Linked DNA regions of Styela clava. The main gene of each other region encodes a partner of the protein of the gene in region 3 in a complex. Links are inferred from orthologs where the notes say so. Each region holds a gene or a part of one and is shown on either strand. Other genes may lie near its edges.

Region 1 (7,473 bases), on a different chromosome or scaffold from region 3:
CATTTCCATAAGTTGCGTTTTACGAAAAGGACGCTCTTACATTGGCCAATGAAAGCAGACTTCTGCATGACGTAACAATCAAAATTATATTAGCTGTAGGCGGTCGGTTGAATTTCAGTTTGTACTGCTCGCTCTTGCGTAGAATCGGGTAGCTTATAGATACTTACCATAGATATCAATTTTATTTGAGCCCTAGCTCATATAACGTTGTTAAATAGGTACGTGTCGACGGCTCTGGTACGGCGCCGAAAATAACAACTCAGTTGGTGGACTTGAAACAAATGGAATATAAAAGATAGGAACAGTTCACACATGAAATGATGGGCAACGTAAGAATAGGATTCGAATAATGTGGAAGAAATTATCAGGCATTTAAATGGAACTACGTTGAACTTACAAGACAGTCTCCACGTTGGATTTCATTCAAAATAAAGAATTCCATGCAAAGAAATTTACAACAACAAAGCACCCACGTCGTATTTTATTCATAATAAAGAATTCCGTGCGAAGACATTTGGAATTTTTTTTAATAATTTTGCTGACACTGTTTTCACCTAACACATTACTTCGCAGTTGTTTACCTCAATCAAGTTATTGGTTTACTTTGCGGCTGATGTAAACAAATCCGGACGATAAACATAGCCACATCATATCCGCTTGAACAGTTTTATATTGGAACTCACCATGCCTGCGGTGTGTTTATGTTACACGAGTTAGACGTCCGAATGATACACGTGTTTTTTTTATCTTTTTTATATGTGTTTGTGTGTGTTAGATGGGTAAACTGGCACATGTAATTCTACATGTTCTAAACTTTATTGAAGGTTTTGCCAATTTTCCCAAACTTGCCTGTGTTTCGTTTTTTCGGGGAAATTGAAATTAAATTATACGGTGCGGTAGACCTAGGAAGATATGCTCAAAACAATACGGCATTTTCATGCTTGTATGATCAATTTAACGACTGAGTTGAGATCGCTGATAGTTACTTCAGCATGTCCTGGGTATTTAAGACGTGAACATCAGTAATACATCGGTAAACTATATTACACGGAATTATCCCTGTATTATGAGGACGTCGAGAAAAGGATTTCCTTGGTACTGTGCGAGAAGTGTGCAAAACTCCCTATTGTGTTGTGTGGTCATCTGAAACGAGAGACTAAATACAAACTAAAAATTTAATCCGCAAATCCAATTAGCGACTGAAAATGAGGAAGTGATTATTGTAAGAAAGGAGCGAAGGCATAAGATATACATATATATATATATATATATATATATATATATATATATCACAAAATATAATGCAGAACATCATAAATTTCGTTTTCAAAGCTCTATTTTTGACCTGATAAATCCCAAAAATTTCGTTATTTTTCATTAAGGATGCTAATTATGACTACTTACAAGTATTCGATTCCTAAATTTCCGATTCTCGATTCCGAATATCGATTCTTCGACATATTTCACCGAGAAAACATACCTACCTAAGCAATACCATATAAAATCAAACAAGAGAGCTATGTTCAAATATATGCACGGAAAAGAAAACCAAAACTAAGTAGTATGGGTATCTAATCTGTCACAGGAGACAAAATCGCACAAAAAAAAGAATCCCTCAGAACCCAAAGGGATTCTAGAAATAAATAAACGTAAAAAACTTCTAGCAAAATATATATATAGTGAAGTTTGCGACGTCGTAGCAACTCAACATAGCAGTAAGGCAGTTTATACATATATATATGTGAAGAAATTGCCACAAAACGTTGAACATTGTTAGCAATTCAAGTTTTGACCTCGAAAATCGATTCCAATGCATCAGAATCGATTCTAGTCGATTCCGCGAAGAATCGATTCTGTATTCGAATCCGGACTCGATTCCGCCATCCCTATTTTTCATCGGATCGGGGACTATAGCAAATCCCAGCGGTTCCCAAATATGTGTTTGTGCTACGCCATATCGCCGCATTATTTCAAAGTTGCAATTGTACTCGTGGGATTTTATGACCGACCTTGGAATTTTGCAAATGATGATTTCTTAAAAATAATCTTAAGTAGCTCAAATTAATCAAATGACCAAGATCGCTCCTTTTCTTAATATATAATTAAATTAATTATAATATATATGAAATTGATATGGCAAGACATTTTTAATTCTAGTAATAGTCTTGAACTGAATATTTTGCGCAACAGAAAAACCATCAACGGTGAAAAAGTCGGCAATTTCAACAAATGGGTAATCACGACGACTGTTGCCATTGGAATTTCCGTTTCCTATTTTGGATACAAAATAAATTCAATCAAATAACACTTGCCTCCTAAATCCCAAGTTACAGTAATTTTGTTCGTAAACGACAGGAATGCGCATCATTTATTCTCTTTGATTTGAATAATCTATTTATCAAATACGGTCATCATGACCGCAATTGTTACATTGTGCTATCTTTATTATTAACGTTATCCTAGCCCATTAGCCCAGCTGTTAAGTTTTTTTTCTATCAACTTTCTTTGCGCTGCTGCCGTAATTTGCCAGCCCCTCTAATAACGGCCCATTGATTATTGTGTCTAGGGCTTATGGTATTTGCAAATAACCGTTTCTGATCATACTGAATTTTGATCATCCGGCCCACTCAGGAAAGTAATTACCCACCCCTGGCCTACACTATACTCAAGTGTATTCATCGGATATTCACGTGGGGAAGAGATGGGCCTAACTTGGCACGCAAGCACGGCTATCCGGTACGCGAGCGAGATCTCGGAATCTTCCTCTTCAAATTTAAAAGGATCGTATTATCTGATGGAACTCTGTGTTTGTTTTTCATCTTCGTTTGTTAACAATCTGTCATTTAATTGAACTAATTAGGAAATATGTTATGACGTAGGCCTAGCAACAAGCTGAGCTCCCAACCTTTGGCACATTTTTGCCGCTCCAGGGGTATGTGTACCAATATGGAGATTACTGATTTTGTTCGCCTATTCTACATCAAATTCTGCAAAAGAACTGAAACCTATGGGCACGGGGATATTCACTTGGTCAACACAGACAGTCCCCGAACTCGTTATAGAACCATAATAAAGAAAATCGGATTAAAATTATGGCCTAACCTTAACCTGGTACGAATACTTCGGAAATACCCATATTTGTTTATTTCGGCAACAATTACAAATCAGCAATAGGTTAACAATGACGTAGAAATTGGAATCTATGGCGCCGATCAGACACTTCTTTTGATCAGTCAGATATTCGAAAATAGTTGGGAACCAAATAACTTAATTGCCTATGCCTTCCGAGGATCTTCAGTTTAGTTACAATAATCGATACCGCAAATACAAAATTGATACCGCAAACGCTGCGATAGACTAGTCTAAAATTAGCTATCAGTACCTAGGAGGGGAACAAGGTTTATTGTTTTGAATAAAAATGATAGTTTTGGACGTGTGCGCTAGTTTGTAAGAGCCAACTCTCCAAAACACTCTCAAAATTAGCATTGAAAATTTTGTAATGATAAAGTATAGTGAGAATCTTTTAAGGGTCGGGGTCGGGGAAACGTCCGGCTACATTCTTACACAGTATAATCAATTTGTCTGTGTTCGTGTTATTCATTTCTACTTGATTTATGATTATGAAGCTGTAGATCGCATGCTGAATATACTTGCTTGTTAACTTCTCGGTATGAATTGATTTTCAAATCTACATCCTGATATGGCCATGAATCGCTGTTCTCGGTTATGAACTTTTCTCGTAATAGTTTCGTAACGGTCTTACTACTTACTGAATACAGCGCGAAACACCGCAAAGAGCGCAAAACAGTGCGAAACAGCGCGAAACAGCGCAAAACAGAGGGAAACAGCGCAAAACAGTGTGGAAACAGCGCAAAACAGCGCGAAAGAGCGCAAAACAGAGGGAAACAGTGTGAAGCAGAAAAATTTTTTGCAATGAGTTCGGGGCACCTTGTTTTGAGTTGGAGTACCACGGCAGCAAATTAAAAATACAAACCAACGTATGTAGCCAGTAATGCTGTAATGGCAGGTCTGCCCCTGCTGGTGACACATTTTGGGTACCATAATTTAGAACATTTTCCATATGGATATGGTTGGCTTTAGGGTTAGGGTTAGGTAAAAAGGGACCTCCAGAAGTATGTGCACCAAGATGGCGCACAACCTGAAAATAGTATGTGTGTGTGTGTGTAGCGGATTCAGGTTGTGCGACATATTGCTGCACATACTTCTGGAGCACCAAAAAGGTAGATAAAATTTCGCATGATGACCTATAATCCGGTACATAACCTTGTGAATATGCCGGAAATAGCGCCATAAAACCATGGCGAGAGGCGCCGTGGTTCTTTCGTGGCAGGAGGTGGTAATGACTGCGTCTCCTGTTTTGCGCTGTTTCCCTCTGTTTTGCGCTGGTTTCCTTCTGTTTCGCGCTGTTTTCCTCTCTTTCGCGCTGTTTCGCGCTATTTTGCGCTGTTTCGCACTCTTTTGCGCTGTTTTGCGCTCTTTGCGGTGTTTCGCTCTGTATTCAGTAAGTAGTAAGACCCCTATTATCATGCAGGTTTTGCACTGGAAGTACCTGTACCGGTAGCAATGCATTATTTTTGAGGTGAATAAATTCAATATTAGTTATGTTTTCACTGTTTGGAGGAATTTTCATCCATTCTTCAAGATCCTTCACATATAACTTTAAAAATGCCAGTAGCTACAGTAGTGGTAGCCTATGTTATCACAAATTCGGTTGATACTGGCACGCCGGAAAATTTTGTCATTTTTGGCAAGCAAACCAATAAAAGGTTGTATGACTAACATTCTTTTATTTCATGGTCTTTTTTTGGTAACAATTCCCATTTTTTTTCTGACTTCATGAATAAGTGCCTCGCTTATGTGGTGATCAATCGCGTATCACTCCTCCAATCCTCTGTTTCAAACCACATTATTGGGTTTAGTTATTGTACCTTACATGTTCAACATTTAATTTAAATATATTTAACTAATTCATGATTCTTTTAAAAAATATTACACCCATTTTCCCTTTTTCAAAGAGCTCAATTTTCAAGTGTCCACTTTTAGTTCGTCCCCCAGTACTGCGTTAGCTTTACTTTTGTTTTTTATTTTCCTAGAGCTGCCCTGAAAGACTTTTTTTTGATTATAAAAATTTTGTATAAATTTTTAGGTTCTATTTGGTAGAATACGGTACTGCAATATGAGTTCAGGTAAAAGGAGAAATATTCGTAGGAAAAGGCAGGAGTCTAGCGATGAAGATGAAGATAAATCTGTTGTAGGCATTGTGGAAATAACTCGAGAAATGCAAAAGATTCGCAAGCGCCAGGCAGGAGTGAATGCAGTTGCTTTGGCTACTGGTGCTAAAATGACAAATGAGCAAGAACTACTGATTGAAAATGATCCATTCAAACTAGGTACTGGTGGACTTATTGACATGAGAAGAGTGAAAGATAGAAATCGAGATCGAACATATGAAGATACAGATCGTGACGTGACAAATTTGGGAACAACTTTTTCAGCGGAAACAAACAGAAGGGATGAAGATGCTGAATTGAAAATATATATTGAAAAAGAATTACAAAAGCGGAAGGGTATCACGAATGATGATGAGAATAAAACTAGCAATATCAAATCGGCTGAAGATCAATTGTTTGCCCTTCCGGATCATTTGAAAATTTCTGTAAAAAAACAATCTGAGGAAATGTTATCAAATCAAATGTTGAGCGGCATACCTGAAATAGATTTAGGAATTGAAGCGAAAATTAAAAATATTGAGCGTACAGAGGATGCAAAACAAAAGTTAATTCATGAGCAGTTAAACAGAAAGAAGGCAAATTCTACATCATTTGTTCCAACTAACATGGCTGTTAATTATGTTCAACACCGGAGATACATGTGTGAAGATAATGATTTTGCAAAAAAGAAAGAACAAAAGCAAGAACAAGAACTTGCACCACTGGTTGTTGGTAACACATCTCGCCAACCTACAGTAGAATTGACGAAAAAGCGAGAAAATAAAGATAAAGCTTCGGATGACTTTCATTATGATAAATTTAGAAAACATGCTCGGAGATTTTAAAATATTTTTTAATTTAACCCATGATACATTGTGAGATTTATAATAAACCTGTTTTTTGCTAATCGGAGTTTGCGGTGCAATTCCAGTAATATCAACCAAATTGAGTGTAACAATGGCATTTCTAAATTCATATATATTACATCTAACTGGACCCAATGAATACACTCAAAGCATACAATATATGTATGGTTATTAGGAATATCTTTTGAAGATTGATGTAATTGTCTCGTAGTATCGATTCAGTTTTAATGGGTGTTGGCTGGTATAAATAAAAAATTAGTAACATATATCATGTTTGGTCTTTATTGATCAATTTTATGTAATACCATGCTTATTTAAACCAAGGTATTCTGTTGAATTCTAAATAATTAACTCTATAATGAGAGTGATTCATTATGCCAAATTTTAGTTACAAAAAATAATTTCAATATTGTATTTATGGATGTCAAATTATTTTTGTTTAACGCTCAATAACTGCCCCAAATTATTGCTTTCTTTGTTTTACAGTTGGCAGTGCAAGTGGGGCATATTTTGTTGGTCTTGTCTTTCAAGTTATGAATAGTATCGGTGAAGATTGCACACCCTTGAAGTGGGAATACGATAAATGCTTCAATCAGTGGTTTAGGGAAAGCTATTTGAAAAATAAAAGTGTAACACATGAAGACGCATGTGGAACTCTTTTTCAGAGTTACAAAAATTGTGTTAAAAAGGCATTGAAAGAACAAGGAATTGATTTAACAGATTTAGAAAAGTCAATGTTGAAAGGAGAAGATGGAGGATTTTCATCAACCCAAAGTTAACCTTTGATATTTTAACGTAATCATGGATATATCATTACAACAGTTGCATTTATGTGCTTTTTTCATACGTATTGGACTTATTGTGTATGGTGAATGGCAAGATAAAAACTTGGAACTCAAATTCACTGATGTCGATTATCATGTTTTCACTGATGCTGCTCAATATGTCTTTAATGGAGAGTCTCCTTATAACAGACCCACATATAGATATAGTCCTCTACTCGCATGGATGTTGGTGCCTTGTCATATTATTCATATTCTGTGGGGAAAACTAGTTTTTATTTCTGCTGACTTATTAGCTGGATGGCTTATACAGAATACAATGGCAATAAATCATGATAAAGGAAAACTTACTAAAATAGCTTTATCTATATGGCTTTTTAATCCAATATCTATGACTATATCAAGTAGAGGAAATGCTGAATCGATAATGTCAGTTCTTGTTTTAGGTACATTATACCTGGTATCCAAGGAGCGATTAATTTTAGCTGGCATTTTTTTTGCCATATCTGTCCATCTCAAGATATTTCCTCTAGTTATCGCTCTGGCTGTCTATCTTTTTTTAGGGGACGGTTTTGAAGGTCGACATAATAAACT
Region 2 (8,271 bases), on a different chromosome or scaffold from region 3:
TATAAAAATAAAATTTAAACAACTGTTTCAAATTTTATCAATTGGGCAAGATGAGGAACATTGCACTTTTTACCAAATAGGTCAAAAATTTCGAAATAGGAAATTTGATATAGAAAAGAAGATTAGGGAAAATAGAAATATATATATATAATCATTGAAAAACTGGCTGTTGCAATCTTCCACAAGTTTCATAATTTTGCCGTAACAGTACGGCACACTATACAAATCGGGTGACATTCTCCCGTTTCAGAGAAACCCATTTTACAGATGATCAGACACCCCTCCTTTGGGAGACGTCTGGACATTGTTGTCCCTCAATATCGGTAAGAATACAGTATAATGAAGTTGCGCAAAATACTACAAAAAAACGCAATACAGTAACGTCATCATTGAATTCCTTGGGAAAAACTACTCCGATTTACCAAAGGAAAATTTTTTTACCGTAGCATTCGAGAGTTTTTAGCAAAAAATGGTCATATGATGGCCGCAATTAACTTAGATTATTATTGAGACGAGCATAGTGTGATATGACGCATCTGACATGGTCCCAGACACCCCTCGTTTGTGAGACACATAGAGTGTTCGTTTTATAGAGCAAAATGGAGGGAAATTCTTGGAATTTAAATAGTGTGGTATACTGTATGATAAGTTATTGAATTTTATCTCCATCAGTAAAATACATGAGTCCTGCACAGTGGAGTTCAACACTTCAAATGATGCGCCTCGGCAATAAGTTGTTGAAAATAAAATCTCAGGCAAACACACCTCAACCAACTTCTCTCCTTTCATGACATTCAGATGTGTTCCAGTAGGTGCTTTTCCTGCCCTGAACATAATAACATAGAATAACTATAGCAATCTATAGTTTGATAGTACAGTATACTTCCTACTGCTGTACTGCTAGTTGAAAGCTTATTTTTGTATTTGGCTTGACAGTCAGCGCATTGTGCTAAATATTATTACACGACTGACTGGACTACATAAGTTCGGATTATAACATAATTATGAAAGTTACAATTATAACAGGATTTGATGGACTCTTCGGAGCCGCACATATGTTATGGTACCGGTACTGTACCGCTGGTTGGTTACAGCTTTCTCAACCATATGCCCATCAAGTCCATGCATCTGAAACAAATGTGGGTAACGGGTGAAGGATAGGATAGGATTTACATATTTATCCCGGAGGAGAGGAAAGCCGATAAGACGGCTTATTCATATGGCGAACCACGGCCTCTCGTCCGGTTACCATTCCAAGTCGGGTATGGGATTAGATTTACTGTATTGTTTGTTTTCGGAAGCATGGACTTGGTGGTGGAGGAAGCCGTAACCGACCAGCGGTCCAGTCTGGATTTCATGGCCTTTTTGAACGAGAAATCGGGCGTGCAATCAGAAATTCCCGCGTGCAAATAAGTATTTCTGGCGTGCAATTATAGCTCACGGCGTGCAAAACAACTGCGCCCGCGTGAAACTGACTTCGATCTAGGATACCTCTCAATACATCCGCGTAAAATTACCGGAATAAAAATGGATAAAAAATATGTTGAATCATAGCAAAAATGGACGTTTGACCTTTGACCCCCAAACATTATTTCTACAGTTTGTTGCTAATTTTGAGAGTGGTTGTGCGACTTTGGTTACCGGCCAGACTGGATTCCATGGCAGGTGCACGCCCGAGGGCGCTAGCGCTCCGCAAAAATGCACGCGAGCGAAATCAATTTTGCACGCCGAAAATTTGCAATTGCTCACTAATGTAAATCGGTTTAAATGGTTTTAAAATCAATAATCCAGTAATATAAAGATGCCAAAATATTATAACTCCACAATTGTCGACAAATACCAGCTTGCAAGATTTGGTCTGATCGAAATATTGCGAAGCAAAAAAGACCATGGACCTTTCCCCGACCTTTGACCCGCGAAAAATTCCTCTCGTTGTTACGTCCTTTTTTGCATCTTGCTGATTGGCCAATGTCACGAAGTAAACAAGGAAGTCGATGCTCGGGGGAAAGGTCCATATCGTGTTGAATGATAGGAATCCCGTGAGAATAGATATGGACGAAAAGATCGCCTCCGCACCAATGGCCAAGTACGGCTCTGATTCAGCGTATTTTTCATACAATAATTTTACACGAATGTACTGAACAGTACCGGTATCTAAAGTTGCTCAAACACTCCCAAAATTAGTGACAAAGTATGAAAATAATATTTGGGGTCAAAGGTCAAACGTCCATTTTTTTCTCTGATTCAACGTATTTTTTTCCGATACCGGTAATTTTACGCGGATGTATTGAGAGGTATCTGATGTCAAAGTCAGTTGCACGCGAGCGCAGTTGTTTTGCACGTCCTGAGCTATAATTGCACGCCAGGAATTCTTATTTGCACGCGGGAATTTCTGATTGCACGCCCGATTTCTCGTTCAAAAAGGCCATGAAATCCAGACTGGGTTACCGGTACTGTTCAGTACATCCGTGTAAAATTATTGTTTGAAAAATACGCTGAATCAAAGCCATAACTGGCCAGCGTCGGTGAGGGGGCGATCTTTCTCACTGGATTCCTGTCATTCAACACGATATGGTGTTTTTTGCTTCGCATTTTTCGATCAGGCCAAACTTGCAATCTAGTATTAGTCGACAATTGTGAAGTTATAATTTTTTGGCATCTTTATATTACTAGATAATTGATGTACAAACTATTTAAACCGATTTACATCAATGAGCAATTGCAAATTTTCGGTGAACAAAAATGAATTCGCTCGCGTGCATTTTTGTGGAGCGCTAGCGCCTTCTGGCGTGCATCTGCCATGGAATCCAGTCTGGCCAGCGGTTACGTGAACCACCCAACGACGGCGAGGAGTCCAGCAATCCTCTCGCACATAACCATCCCTGCATGGGATTCGAACCTGCGAACCCACGCAGAGTAGTTAGAGGTGCGGTGGCGAATGTATTCCTAACGCTTAGCCCGTTGAGCCACGCCGCCGCGCCTATACCCATATCTGCATATTGGACATGAACTGATAACTGGACAACAGTTCAAGGTTCGCCATAGCAATAAGCCATTTCCATTCCTCCCCAACCTGCTAACAGGCTGAATATCAAAATCCTATATGAAACATGATATCTTAAGTCATACTGTCAGTAAGTAAAAAACAAGGAAACTCACCAAGAAGGAACTTCAAAATCCACTTTCGCTGGATTAGCAAATTTCCCGGAAGGTTTAATTGCCGTCATTTCAATATCCAAGCCTCAATAACTAAACCACTCTCTCAAACGTGCAACATTTTCCAAGAATCTAATCGAAAGCTATCCAAAATATCTATCAACATGCACACACAACCGAACTTGCAGACAATATAGAGGTGGATGGAGTCAATATATATTGGGAAATGAAAATTCCATTTTGTTTGAGTTTCATAAGATTACTGTTAGGATTAGGAAAATATTTCATGATTATGGTGGAGAAAGAAAGAACTGATAAAATTACGATATTGCCATCGACGGCCTTTTTTGTGGGTTCAAATCCATGTTGCGCATGGTAATATTTACTCGTTCTAGATACATAGACTTGCTGATAAAAAACTGTAACCGAGTACGCTGACCATTTCGATCATACAGTACATATTTATATTTGCGAGATTCGAAGTCAAGCATTAAAAATCAATCGTACACAAATTACGAGCAAATAAATAAGTACACATTTTTAATGGAAAAGGAAATTACGGGGACAACCAAGGTTCAAAAATCGCAGTAATCAATTTCAATGTCGCAACTACTGTATTTGCATCAGGTGCGACAAGGGTTGGGATTTCGGAACAAGTTTTTGAAATCCCGGTATCGATATATCCCGGGATTGAGCCGTATAAAGTAAAGATTGAAACATCTTGCATGACAATAAAATCATGTATTTCTTTCATGTAATATCGACGCAGAAATATTAGGGCATCTAGGGCAGTGGTTCCCAACCATTGTTATATCGTGGCACACTATTTAGCTCTTTAAATATTCGCGGCACACCTATCACAAAACACGAACATTTTCTACCCATAAAGAGTGCAATAGTCGAACGCGAACAAATGGTTAACAGTTACCGATATTAGAACTGTTTTCTTAAACATGAATGAGAGCGTCTTCGGAGCACCTCACATTATTCTAAAAGTAGCGCGGCCTCACGGGTAATACGTGGTCTTCAGACGCACCGCCGATCACGCGCTTCGGTTTTGCTCGCCCTTCCCTGTTCCATGTTACGCCCTTATCATTATCACATGTATTCTCACTTTTTCACAACCTTATTCATTTTTGTTACAATTCAATATTTTTCTCCCATTACCAAAAATCATTCAATAGAGCTATTGTCGGCAGTTGCGAGAGAATTGAAAGTGGCAAACAAACTGTATTTCATTACAACAATTAATTATTATCGCTAAAAACACTAAATAGGTTTAAAGTTGTTATAAACGATTTTTACAGCTGGACATATCTTTTCACGTTTGGAATTTCCGATTTTGGAAAGCCCGAACATAAATTTGATGGCAAAGATCATAGCATTTACTATGTCGAAACGCTTATTCAACTTTTCAGACCGCAGAAACTATCTGAAAAAGATGACCGTTTTTGTGTTCGAGGTATGGAATAATCGTAAATTCCACCACGCTTTTGTGAAGTAGTGCAATTTACTAAATTCATGGAGGATTTATTAAGTTTCATTGCATCAGTGTTTGGACTACCACGCGTTTTAATATTGGTTTTATTACTATTTCTTTTATTATTTACTGGCGTGATTACAGATCGCAAGGGTGGTCAAAATAGTATATTTTCATCTAATAATTTTAACGAATTGTCAAATATCGGGTTGAATTCGAGATTTTATTCCGATTTTCAACTTTTAGGTCGGTTTGGATCTTTCTTGTCACCGTTTGTAAACTAACTGTCCCAATTTTAAGCTAAAAATATTATCATTTCTGACGCCGGAATGCGGATATTTATGAAGACGATAGTTGACCTTCTTGACTTCACTTTTCAACTGTGTGGCTGTTTTATTTTCGTATATAGTGAATTAAAACACTGCGAAGTCATTGTGTGCATCCTGAATGCTATTTTGAGTTCAAATTATAATTAAATAAGTCGGCAATAATGACAATTCTACTAGTCAAATAATAATTCCTTGGCACAATTTGAGGAAAATTTCACACAATAATTCTACTTCCACTCAAACTGTGAGCGTGGATTGTTTTTTTCAAAATAAGTATTATATAAAATAGTATAACCTACCATCTGTGAGAATATCTATAGGTGGATAATAAAGCCTTAATTAAATTCTCGGGATATTTAGGAAATAATTGCGGGATCGGGATTGAAAAAAACAGTCCAAATCCCGGGATTCTTAGGATGTATATATTTTATACCTCATTCATGTTACTTTTTAGGCTAACCTGTAACAGCGCTGTGGGTATCGCTGCTTGAAGACCTCCATACGTCCCTCGCGACTCCGGTCACACAACTAACATAATTAGTACTATTATTTATTTATTCATTGCATCAGTTTTTATTTGAACTTGTTTTTGTAATGACAAATAAACGATTGGCTGATTGATTGATTAAAGTTTAGGAATTTAAGCAGTTAGTACTGTTATTGGACACGAAATGGATTTTTTTTCATGTTGTTGTTGTATAAATTTTGCCCTACGGTTTCACGGCGCGGCGGTGTGGCTCATCGTGCTAAGCGTTAGGAATACGCTTGCCACCGAACCTCTGATTACTCTGCGTGGGTTAGCAAGTTCGAATCTCAAGCAGAGATGGTTACGTGCGAGAGGATCGCTGGACTCTTCGCCGCCGTGGGGTGGTTTCCGTAACTGCTGGTCGGTTATGGCTTCCTCCACCATCAAGTCCATGCTACCGAAAACAAATGACTAAGTTAACTAATCCCATACCCGAGGCCGTGGTTCGTCATTTTGGTAAACCGTCCTATCGGTTCCCCCCCCCCCCCCTCGGGATAAATATATAAATCCTATCCTACCCTATTAGTGGGCCAATCGCTTAGAATCAATTAGGCAATTGAAAGTGGTTAAAGATTGTTGTTGTGCATGAAGCTTATTACTTTCGTTTTATTTTAAAATTTCCATGGGTTTTATGGGATTCGTTTTACCACCCTGAAGTTTTGTGTGACGATGTCACCAGGATTAAAAAAATTGCGCACCGTGTGGCGGTTGCTCTCACCATCGCATTTCAATGATATGATACCATTGAACTGAAAAAACATGGAACGATCTTCTCTCTCGTTTTGCGTTGTCTCGCCGCGGGATCATTTGATCGCCGCCATCTTGGCATTTATGCTGCCAAAGTTTCTTCGTGTTGCATATGGTTTTGGCCAGTATTTCGTCTATTTTAGTACTCAGTGTCACTTTTGGGACCCGGAAATGATAAGTCGATTTGCCAGACTCGTTTTATTGAGAATATTCAAAACGGTTGACTAAAATATAAATGAAATATTTAGCACCAAATAAGTCGAAGACAAATGATACAGAATATAAAACTGATATCAATTAATCAATCATCATTTTATTCGTCAGCACAAAATAAACGTATCATAAGAAAAAAACATTTCAAATACAATATGAACTTAACTTAAGTTGTGTGACAGGAGTCGCGAGGGACCTCATAAGGTCTTCAGGCAGCGACACCTTAAAAGCTCGCTGATTCAGGTTAGTGAGCACAAAAAGTTAATGAAACACCAAAACACTTCAAAAAATATTATAAGAAAAAAAAAGCAGCATTTTCGGAAAACATAATATTAACAAATATGTTTCATGAATGGTTTGCAAAAGCAAAACATTCCAGTTATGAGCATGTTTCTTAAAATCCACGACCAACGATGCAACTTAATGCACTGTACAAATTCATTAGATATATAGAAAGGAAAATAAATAAAAAATAATATACTGTATTAATTACTCAAGCGGGATCAGCCATTGTCCTGATCACTGGCATGGTGTAAGCAAGCAATTAAAAATTTGATTCTCAGAAAGTCAGACTCCACGCACATCTGATTTTCCCGCAGAACAGAGCGTGGATAGACAGAATCGAATGTTTGGTCAGAAAAATAGGGCTTGGGGGTTTGTTGCAAAGAAAAGCAGTACAGGTACCGGTAGTGGTTAATTATCAATTCAAAGAAAGGTAGTCACTAATGTACTTCATTTTTAGTTCTCTTTTGAAACCATGATAAGAGAGTGATCTTAGGGTACCTGATATATTGTTCCATAACTTCACACCAATGTATTTGATGGATTTCTGCGTTCTACATGTGTGTATCTGGATACATGGAAGGCACCTTGTGATCCGATCTTGTGCAATACGAATGAACGCTAGTTTGCTTGGTGAAATACCCTACAAATGCTCTTGGAGGTTTGTTGTCAAAGTACTGGTTGATAAGTTTCAATACCTCGAATTCATGGACGTGGCAAAGTTTCATTACTTTAAATTTATGGTACAAGTGGTCAAGTCTGGATCGTAAGGGTGCATCACCTATAGCTCTGATCGATTTATTTTGCAACACCTCCAATCTGCGAAGTAAGTTGGAGGATGCGCTTCCCCATGCTACAATACCATACTGAAGATATGACTGAAAGAGCGAAAAATAAACTAATCGCAAAGCCGATGTGGTGAGAAATTTTTCAAGTTTAAATAATATACCTGCTTTTCTACCTAGCTTGCCAGCAATGTAGTTGATGTGTGTTGCCCATTTTAACCGATTACCAATGTGTATGCCCAAGTATTTGTAGGAGTCCACATTATCAAGTAAAATGCCATTAATTAATGGAAATTTGGAACAAGTACCTACTTCTGTCATTTCTATTGGAGTTAATGAAAAGGGATTTGGATTTTGCAATATTTAGTTAGTTTATTGATAGTCATCCAGGTTGCAATATTTTGTATTTCAGAGTTCATGTGCATTTTCAAGTTGTTTGGTGAAACTGAACTACCGAATAATCCGGTATCGTCAGCAAAGAGTTTGACCAATAATTTGGTGGCATGAGGAAGATCGTTGACGAATAATACGAACATTAATGGGCCGATTATTGTGCCCTGTGGAATTCCGCATTGCACAGTTGAGAATGTGGAGCAATTTGTCCCTACTTTGACATATTGCTGACGTGAGCTTAAATAGCTCTGGAAGAATTTTGATGCATGACCGCGAATGCTATAATGGCTCAGCTTTCTAACTAGTATGTGATGGTCAACAGTATCGAACGCCTTTTTAAGGTCGAGGAATATTGCACCG
Region 3 (8,201 bases):
CAGTGGCTACATGTACAGTGCCTTGTTTAGAGTGAAAGGTGTGGATAAGCGTCATATTAGTAGGTCTTTCCAAATTAGAAGTTTTTACTGACAAAATATTGCATACAGCACAATTTTTGATACAGAACAGTTTGATGAAAAATATTCGAGAACAAAATGAATATGCTTCATAGTGTGTGCGTGGTACATTGCTTTGAGCAAATTCTCTGACAACCCCTAGTAAGACATGAACAATTTTAATCATACAATTCATATTTGTTTAAATAAAAATAATATTTTAGGACGTGTGCACAAAACCAGTCATACAATACCCACCTTTGGCATAAAAAATTTGCAGGGTATATTGCTTATGTGTACTGTGTCTGGACGTTCTCCTGGCTGAGTCTCATCATAATCTTTTGAATCACGAAAATATGAATCCCAGTCATGACGAGATGGAAATGGTATTTTGCTTTCTCCACATGTCACCTAAATGATGTTAAATGCAACTTATTTAGCTAATATTTTTCATCACAATTTATTTGATGTGTTAATTACTTTCGAGTTATGTAGAGAAACGCGAGCAGAGAAGGTCAACAATGAAAAATCTGCTATTTTAAATCAATGGTTTTCAACTATTTTCAGCTTGCGGACCATGAAATTTTAAAACCAATTTTGCAGACGGGTAAACCATTTAAAATTTTCTCACATAAGAAAGCTGTACAAATATCAGCAGTAATTTATTTAACATATTTTTAACTGAGCTCAGGATATTCTTTCAAGCGATATTCAAAACTGTGACAATGGCTAGTCTTTATGCTTCGACATCAACAGGGTATCGCAATAGTAAGCTCAATCTGGGTTATGATCTCGCCCATGCATAACTGGTTTCCCAATATTTCCCATATGATTAGCCATTTCATGCATGGTCATAACTGAAAAGTTATTATACGGAGTAACATTTAAAATGACTTTTCAAGAGTGTACACGATGAGAAAAAGTTAGTATCGACAGAAAACGCTAGTTTTATAATTAGAATCGATTTGAAGCTGTGGAGTTAGTAATCACAGGAATGGATTGGGGGTCCTTATGGTGGCAATACCTTCTTTCAGTGGAACTTGTATTATCCATCTATTACCATGACAAATAATTGCACTCTTGCATTTTGATTGCTGTTGTACAGTAATAATAATACGGTTAGCATATACGGTAATAATGTCATCAAACTAGTTCTGAATTTGTGACCCTTCTAAATGCAATTTTGAATTTCTCGGGCTACAATTTTATCTATATTTATGGTTGTTTATCATTTTGCTGAGAAGTACACAAAGAAAAAACTGAATCCGTTATAATTAACTAGACAAGGTATTGGGATGTGCATTTTTAACTCTTAACACTCAACAGTTTTGAGAACCCCTAATTTTGGAGATCTCTCAATTTTTTGAACAGTTCATGTAGGCAAGGATTGTCAAGCTCTAATAAAGTCACACGGACCACTTTATGAAAACAAAATAAAAATTGTTGTACCTTGAGCAAGCCCGAAAACCCAGATAATTTGATATGTTTTCCATCCAACATTGAAACAAATGTAGAAACTAGTGATTTATTTTCCACTTCACCTTCAAATCTAGACAACAAAAAACAATAATTTTAAACAATTTACAGAATCATTTCGATGTAATCAAGGTAAAACAATTCTGCCAAACATCAGATCTGGTATACAATTGACCCCCAATTAAATAGAAAACAAGGTATATCATAAAACTACAACCTAACAAATTCCAAGTTACTCTTTGCCACTCGAAGCAATGTGAATTGGTGAGGGGTGCACATTGTTTTTAACTTTTCCATTACTTCCCAGTTTGATATCGTCTGTCCAACAACCTAAACAAATAAAATCAAGTTAGGTACGCAAAAACAAAGCCTAAAACAAAATACAATCAGGCTATATATGAATAGACCAGGCCAGTCTTTCGGTAGTAACTTTTTACATGAATAGGGCAGATTGGGGAGAATAGTTCCTACAGGAGTGGTGACTCCTCTACGGCCCATGGGCCGGGGCCACGACCCATCTAATTGGGCCACATGGCCCCATCAGGAAAAATTCAATTATCTTAACAAAATTTTCAATTTTTACCAAATTGTCAATATTCAAACCAAAAAAATATACTCCTGTAGTATGTGTACCAGGTTAGGGTTAGGACAAAAAAAATTCAGATTTTTTACATTATAGTTCTATTATGAGTTCGGGGACTGTCTGTGTTAGCCAAGTGAATAGTTTCTTTACACAACTTGATGGGCCGCGGCCCATAGCCTGATGGGCCGAGGCCCAATTCGATGGGCCGTGGCCCCGGCCCATGGGCCGCAGAGGAGTCACCACTCCCACTCAATAGTTCAGTCATTTTAGCATTTAGTACAAAAAAGAGACATAGAGACATAATCATTTTCAGAATATGTACTGCCAAATATGTACAACTGCGATCTTACACCTTCAACCAGTCTGGATTTCATGGCCTTCTTCCCAATAAATAAGGCGTGCAAATGAAAAATCCTGGCGTTCAATCAGTGACGTATGCACACCAAATGTCTGAGCCTACATGCAAATCTACCAAGGCCCCGTGAAAAACCTAGCGTGAAACTAACAGAATTTGAAACACTTGAATACACAAGTGTAAAATTATTTAAAGGGAACATCCCAACTGGGGCTTTGATGCACAGTCCAGTCTACAAAACGGTGAAGATGATGCAGATGTGGATTTTTACATAGGTCAAGTCAATTAATCAGAGCAAACAGAACGTGATAAAGGTACCTATTAAAGCGTCTCACATTTCAAGAGGCCCATATATTTTTTTATTGACATATGTTTTGGCTTGTTAATACAAGCCGAAATATGCGTGTTGTACAGGTGTTCATTGGCTATTTCATTCATTTCTCCAGAAGTTATGGAGGTTACAGGGTTAGGCGGTTTGGTGCAAGTCCAATGCATTATCGTACTGCATTATCTCATTACTGGATTATGCAGCCAATGGTAGATTACGTCAGTTGAAGCTCAGCTCTACATTCTCAAAATTTACCTTCATTTGCGGCAACGCAACGCAGACATTAACTTTAGCGTACGGCTTTAAATGTAGATTCAGCGACGGGCAAAGATTTTCCACGTCTGATAAATCGCTTACAAGCGTTGTATTCATCTCCACAGTATTCCTTGAACGTGCCTTACCCAGCTTGAAAATGGCGAAATGCAGACTAAGTAAAAATCACAAACAGTAAAACACGAACCTGCAACCTGAATGCATTACAGTACTCTGGCGCCTTTAGGGGGCCATTTGGTTGGAGCACAAGTTATTTGTTGTTGTTTAGTCGACCCTTGACCTCGCTAAATTTTTAAGCTCGTTTTGCAAGTGCTTTCACGAGCGGGAGCTCACAGAATTGTTTATTGGACAAGTGGGTGGACCTATGGATCGTTTTGATATTTTGTTGTTGTTCTTGGTAATTTTCGTCTTCATTAATATAAAATCGATTTTCTTTTCAGTTGTGTTCCGGAAATTTAAATCTAAATCAGATAATTCAATGATCACTCTGTGTTATTTTTCGAGAGAAAATTGAGATAATTCCCTGTCCTATTTTCGGGGAAACACGGTAAATCAGAACTCGGAAGAAGGCATTTTGATTTACATCTAAATTTCCGCAAAACTGCCAAAACATCATTTGTTAGGTTAGGGTGGTCCAAACTGCTGCCCATCGACACATTTCGTACGTCTCCAGAACAATTTTAACGTGCACTAAACCAGGGATGTCAAACTCGCGTGGCGTCCTGTTATCAGTACAAGGAAGTGAATTGTCATTTTATCTAAGATCAGTGCCTTAAGCTCGCGAGACGTTTTGTGCCTTCATTTCAATAAAAAGACTACTCTATTTTCAAGACAGCAGTGACGAACCACATAGCTGACGTTGCGCCTCACGATCTATGAGTTATAAAATTAGTCAAATATAACAATTCATCATACAACGAGTTTAATGAAAAAACGTATTCCCTTATCCACAACAACGTTAAACCACAGCGGCCGGTGTGTTTTCAAGTGATAGCTGTCAAGAAAGAATGTAATTTTAAGCGACATAACACAACCGAACGCGAGAAAGGAAAATATCACGGTATTGCTCGGGAAGCAATTTTGAAATACCAAAAGGCTTTATATAACTTCCCTAAAAAACTGATCAGAACGGTACTGATAGGACAATACGTGTGACTGAAAGAGTATATGGACATAAAAATAGCACAACAATAGTAGTTACATCTCTTGCCAACAACTAACAATGGATAAAACTTGAAAACGATATTGCGTGCTAGATATAGGCTACTGTATACCAATGCACAAAACATGAGCTTTGAAATAAACTATCCCTATACTTTATTTGCTCAAGTTTTGTTGATGTTACAATCAAACAAAAAAAAGAACATACGACAATAGCTGTTCGTGAATAATTTTTATGCTGGAAGGGACAAAAAATCACTGGGCCAATTATTTTTCTAGCATAATGTGTAGTAATTTTATATTGATTTGTAGTCAATTCTAATTGTATTTGATCCGAGACAATTTGTTATTTTTCAAAGAATTAAAACACGAAAAGTGTATTTCAAATCGTTCGTAACATTCCCTGATCATGAATGAGCCCAAACCTGAGATTTTTTCGATGTTTCGTAACAAACTTGATCAATACGGTTCGGGACAACTTGAAAATTGTCTAACATTCGAAGAATATTGATGTAATGGTCTTCTAAAGGTTGCAGCACGGCTCTGATAATTACTTAAAATAGCATTTTTATCTACGCTGTAGCAGCGCAATATCTAGTGATGAATTCTGTCAAGTGTCAACATACGATTTGTTGGTCAGAATTGTATTAGATGACCCAGAATTTTCTGACAAAAGTTTTGTCCCAAACTCGTAATTCGTTTCTGTACCAACGATCACAGCATGGGTTACCCCCAACTTTGATGAGTAGACAGACTTATAGATTTTATTGTAGTTTTCGACAATAGTACAGAATACAATCCTAAAACCTCACTGAAAAGATATCAAGCAGTGTTTATACACCTTAATTAAACAGCGAATCAATATTAATAACAAACGTAATAGCGTGACACGTCACATGCAGGAACTCTTATTATTAACCTAATACGGATAATTATCTTCGCCGTGCGGATTGGAATTTGCATCTAATTATTTCAATCCTTGGTATAATAATCTGAGGAAGAAATTTGAAATTGTTAATGACTGGACGAAATATGTTTCTGAAAGCTCAATTAAACTGTAAGATTTGTTTTTTACCAACATCACATTAGACATCATATTGGAAATTTAGGAAAAATTAATTTTGTTGTTCAGGCAAATCGGAGAAAATTTGAGGTTTCTGTTGATGACATATATATACGTAGTTAAGCGATATGAGACAAAAAAAAAAATCATGGAAAATATCGTAACGCTAATAACCGAATTGCGTGAGTCCTTTTTGGCGATTTTGAGTTTTTTATAAAATGGGTATTTATGTAATGCTGCGCACCTTTCGGTTAACTCAGATTTTATTTTAGGAATTCCGAAACCCATGGAGATTTAGTATGACATGCACATTTGTGCAATTGTTTCGTCATAATGAATTATCAGTGTTACCGCAGGACTATTGTGACGTCACAAAAGCAAAATAACCTCGGCGACGTATTTTTGAGTTTTTGCCTCTCGGATTCTAGCTTAGCGCGTATTAATTTGAATTTTTACTACAGTATAGGAAGACGTGCACTTGTGATATTTACTGTCCCGAGTCCAATTTACCTTGGTTGGCTTTATTTTTAAACATAAAAAATAATTTAATTGGAACTGATTAGCTATTTTGGGGATAAGACATTGTAGATACTGAGAATTATATTCGTTTTTGGAATGTTTAGTTTTCAAGACTGGTGCATATAGTGAAGTTGCAAAATTGCGTTAGTCCCCAAGTCATAGACACATTTCTGCCTAAGTCACAGTGCGCCATTATGACGTCACTTAACTGCGTCATACAAATTAACTTAAATCCGACTACGATAAAAAAAATTGAACCATGGCAAATTATTGACTCTCAATGGCATAACAATATCATTAGGAAGTTTTTTACGTTTTTCTCAAAACTGCGAAAAATGACTTACGCAATTCGGTTATTAGCGTGACGATATATATTTTGTCGTTCTGCTTGATTTTGTACGACAAATCGTTGGTGGTTCTTAGGAAACACGGAATTTAAATATAGATCCTGAGATCGATGCAATGACAGCAAAATTATCCTTAGATACCCAAATAACTAGAAAAACAAACTTCAAAAATAAATGCAAATGTTGATTCTTGAAACAATTATGGCGCATTAGCCTATCTTATAAAAATTGAGATTGTACATCCAAACACACTCAAGGTCCCACAGAAAATTCTGTACTTCGCAATATTTTCTATTGCATCATCTATGCACAAAGATAATGTTTACATTCTTATGGCTCAATTTTCTAATGACACTTCTCTTCAAGTTTTTTTTACATATTAATTAATTGCACAGCTTGAGTGGACAAGTGACAGTACAAGAATTGGCAAATATCCTCGACATCAAGATCTGTGCTAATATATATATTACCTAGTATGCCTATCGTCTGGATTGTCTTGAAATTGAAAACAGACGTAACCGAACGATTAAGGCTATGAATTTAAAAGCAATCTTCTGATGTACCGTGATGAGCGTTAGGAAATACGATTTCCATCGCGTGACTGACTACCTCTGCGTCAAATACAGTGGTAATGGCTGATACGTTTGCTGGTCCGTATGTACCTAACTGGTCTGCTAATTTTATACCCGACCTGACGTCCGTATTCTATGAATCTACTGTAATTGTCTTGAAGACTACATTTCATCAGAGTTGTAATATGATTAAGCTGGTGCTATTTGAGTTCACAAGGTAGTCCCCATAACACTGGCGCTAATGTTTTTACTCCTGTAGCTTGAGGTCGTGTAAATTTAATAATTGCGAATCTGAAAATTGTGGAGCAATATCTAACTTCTTGGGGAGACAAACGTAAATTTTATCAAGTCATAAAAATATTTTCGCTCATTACGCCAGGAAAGCGAGACGGTAAGTTGATAACAGCCCAGATGTAAAGCGCAGATATTTTGAAATGGCATAAAAATAAACCATAATTATTCGAATCTAACTATGTAAAGCTTACTAATCGGTGTTTTCAAACTCGCCAGTTCACTACTATCTCACTACTTGTCTCAGTCAAATATGATATCGCTAGGATTTACATCACACGTCGCTTTGAAGACGAAAATAACTAGACAGAGTTATACAAAATGGAATAGAAATAAAGTAGAAAATTTTTACATCAAAGACAGCAAAATTGTTGATCACATTGCACAGTGAGCACAATAGGAAACACTCAGTGAACAGTGAATTGTACATGTATTTATGATAAGTATCATAATGTTTGTTACGGGTTTTATCCTGACTTGAAAAGAAGAATGGCGATTTGGCCTAAATAAAAATATATGAAATGCTTCGTTTCGTGGGTGACGTAGCTTCCGAAATTTCGTCCACATATGCAGTGCCATGTTGGGTTATATTTTTTGTCAAATTCCTTTTTGATGTAAGCAGCTATGTCCTTTTCGATGTTGTATTTTTCCAAAGCCTAAACATAGTAATATATCTTTATTATACTAAGGATATACCTTTTATATTACAAGATCGATATTTGGAAAGCACGGAAAGATTTACATCGCCACTCTGTTGATATACGCTATCCCAAAATCTCTACCGGGATTACCCGTTAATGTCTTCTGGCATTAAAAACATGCTGAGAATAAGGACACACAAATCAATACTTAAGAAATTAACAATTAACGTGAAAAATTGTAAAAACAAGGCACATTGGTATGGATACATTAAAAAATTGTTTTATTTGGATTGTACGTTAACCAATCTTCAACATAAACGCAATAGAAAACTTTTTTTTTTACCTGTGTTGCACAATCTACTGCATCCTGTTGCATGTCCTCTGCCATATCGGCATTCTTAATAACGGCTTTTCTATCAGACATGTTCTACGAAAAGTAATAAATTATTAAAATTAAACAAAACAGCGACATTTAACGATCGATCGCTTAAAAGCAATAAACAAAAAATTCGAGAATTGAGTTACTTTGGTACGA

The links. The genes of interacting proteins can lie anywhere in the genome.
Region 1: A-kinase anchor protein 17A-like (region 3) and splicing factor C9orf78-like share a complex: the UniProt entries of both Homo sapiens proteins name them as parts of the spliceosome. The link is inferred for Styela clava from reciprocal best matches to the Homo sapiens genes AKAP17A and C9orf78.
Region 2: A-kinase anchor protein 17A-like (region 3) and nuclear inhibitor of protein phosphatase 1-like share a complex: the UniProt entries of both Homo sapiens proteins name them as parts of the spliceosome. The link is inferred for Styela clava from reciprocal best matches to the Homo sapiens genes AKAP17A and PPP1R8.

Annotation. Positions count from the first base shown.
Region 1 is NC_135253.1:1,232,631-1,240,103, forward strand, and holds splicing factor C9orf78-like, read left to right. Parts: upstream 1-5,140; 5' UTR 5,141-5,197; coding exon 5,198-6,076; 3' UTR 6,077-6,583; downstream 6,584-7,473. Other genes in the region: GPI alpha-1,4-mannosyltransferase I, catalytic subunit-like, read left to right, coding at 6,899-7,473. UniProt on the Homo sapiens protein: Plays a role in pre-mRNA splicing by promoting usage of the upstream 3'-splice site at alternative NAGNAG splice sites; these are sites featuring alternative acceptor motifs separated by only a few nucleotides. May also modulate exon inclusion events.
Region 2 is NC_135257.1:22,033,455-22,041,725, forward strand, and holds the start of nuclear inhibitor of protein phosphatase 1-like, read right to left. Parts: upstream 3,391-8,271; 5' UTR 3,228-3,390; coding exon 3,160-3,227; intron 827-3,159; coding exon 766-826; intron 1-765. UniProt on the Homo sapiens protein: Inhibitor subunit of the major nuclear protein phosphatase-1 (PP-1). It has RNA-binding activity but does not cleave RNA and may target PP-1 to RNA-associated substrates. May also be involved in pre-mRNA splicing.
Region 3 is NC_135263.1:13,031,908-13,040,108, forward strand, and holds the start of A-kinase anchor protein 17A-like, read right to left. Parts: upstream 3,319-8,201; 5' UTR 3,172-3,318; coding exon 3,055-3,171; intron 1,864-3,054; coding exon 1,751-1,863; intron 1,607-1,750; coding exon 1,507-1,606; intron 469-1,506; coding exon 316-468; intron 1-315. Other genes in the region: dynein light chain 2, cytoplasmic, read right to left, coding at 7,493-7,681, 8,010-8,090. UniProt on the Homo sapiens protein: Splice factor regulating alternative splice site selection for certain mRNA precursors. Mediates regulation of pre-mRNA splicing in a PKA-dependent manner.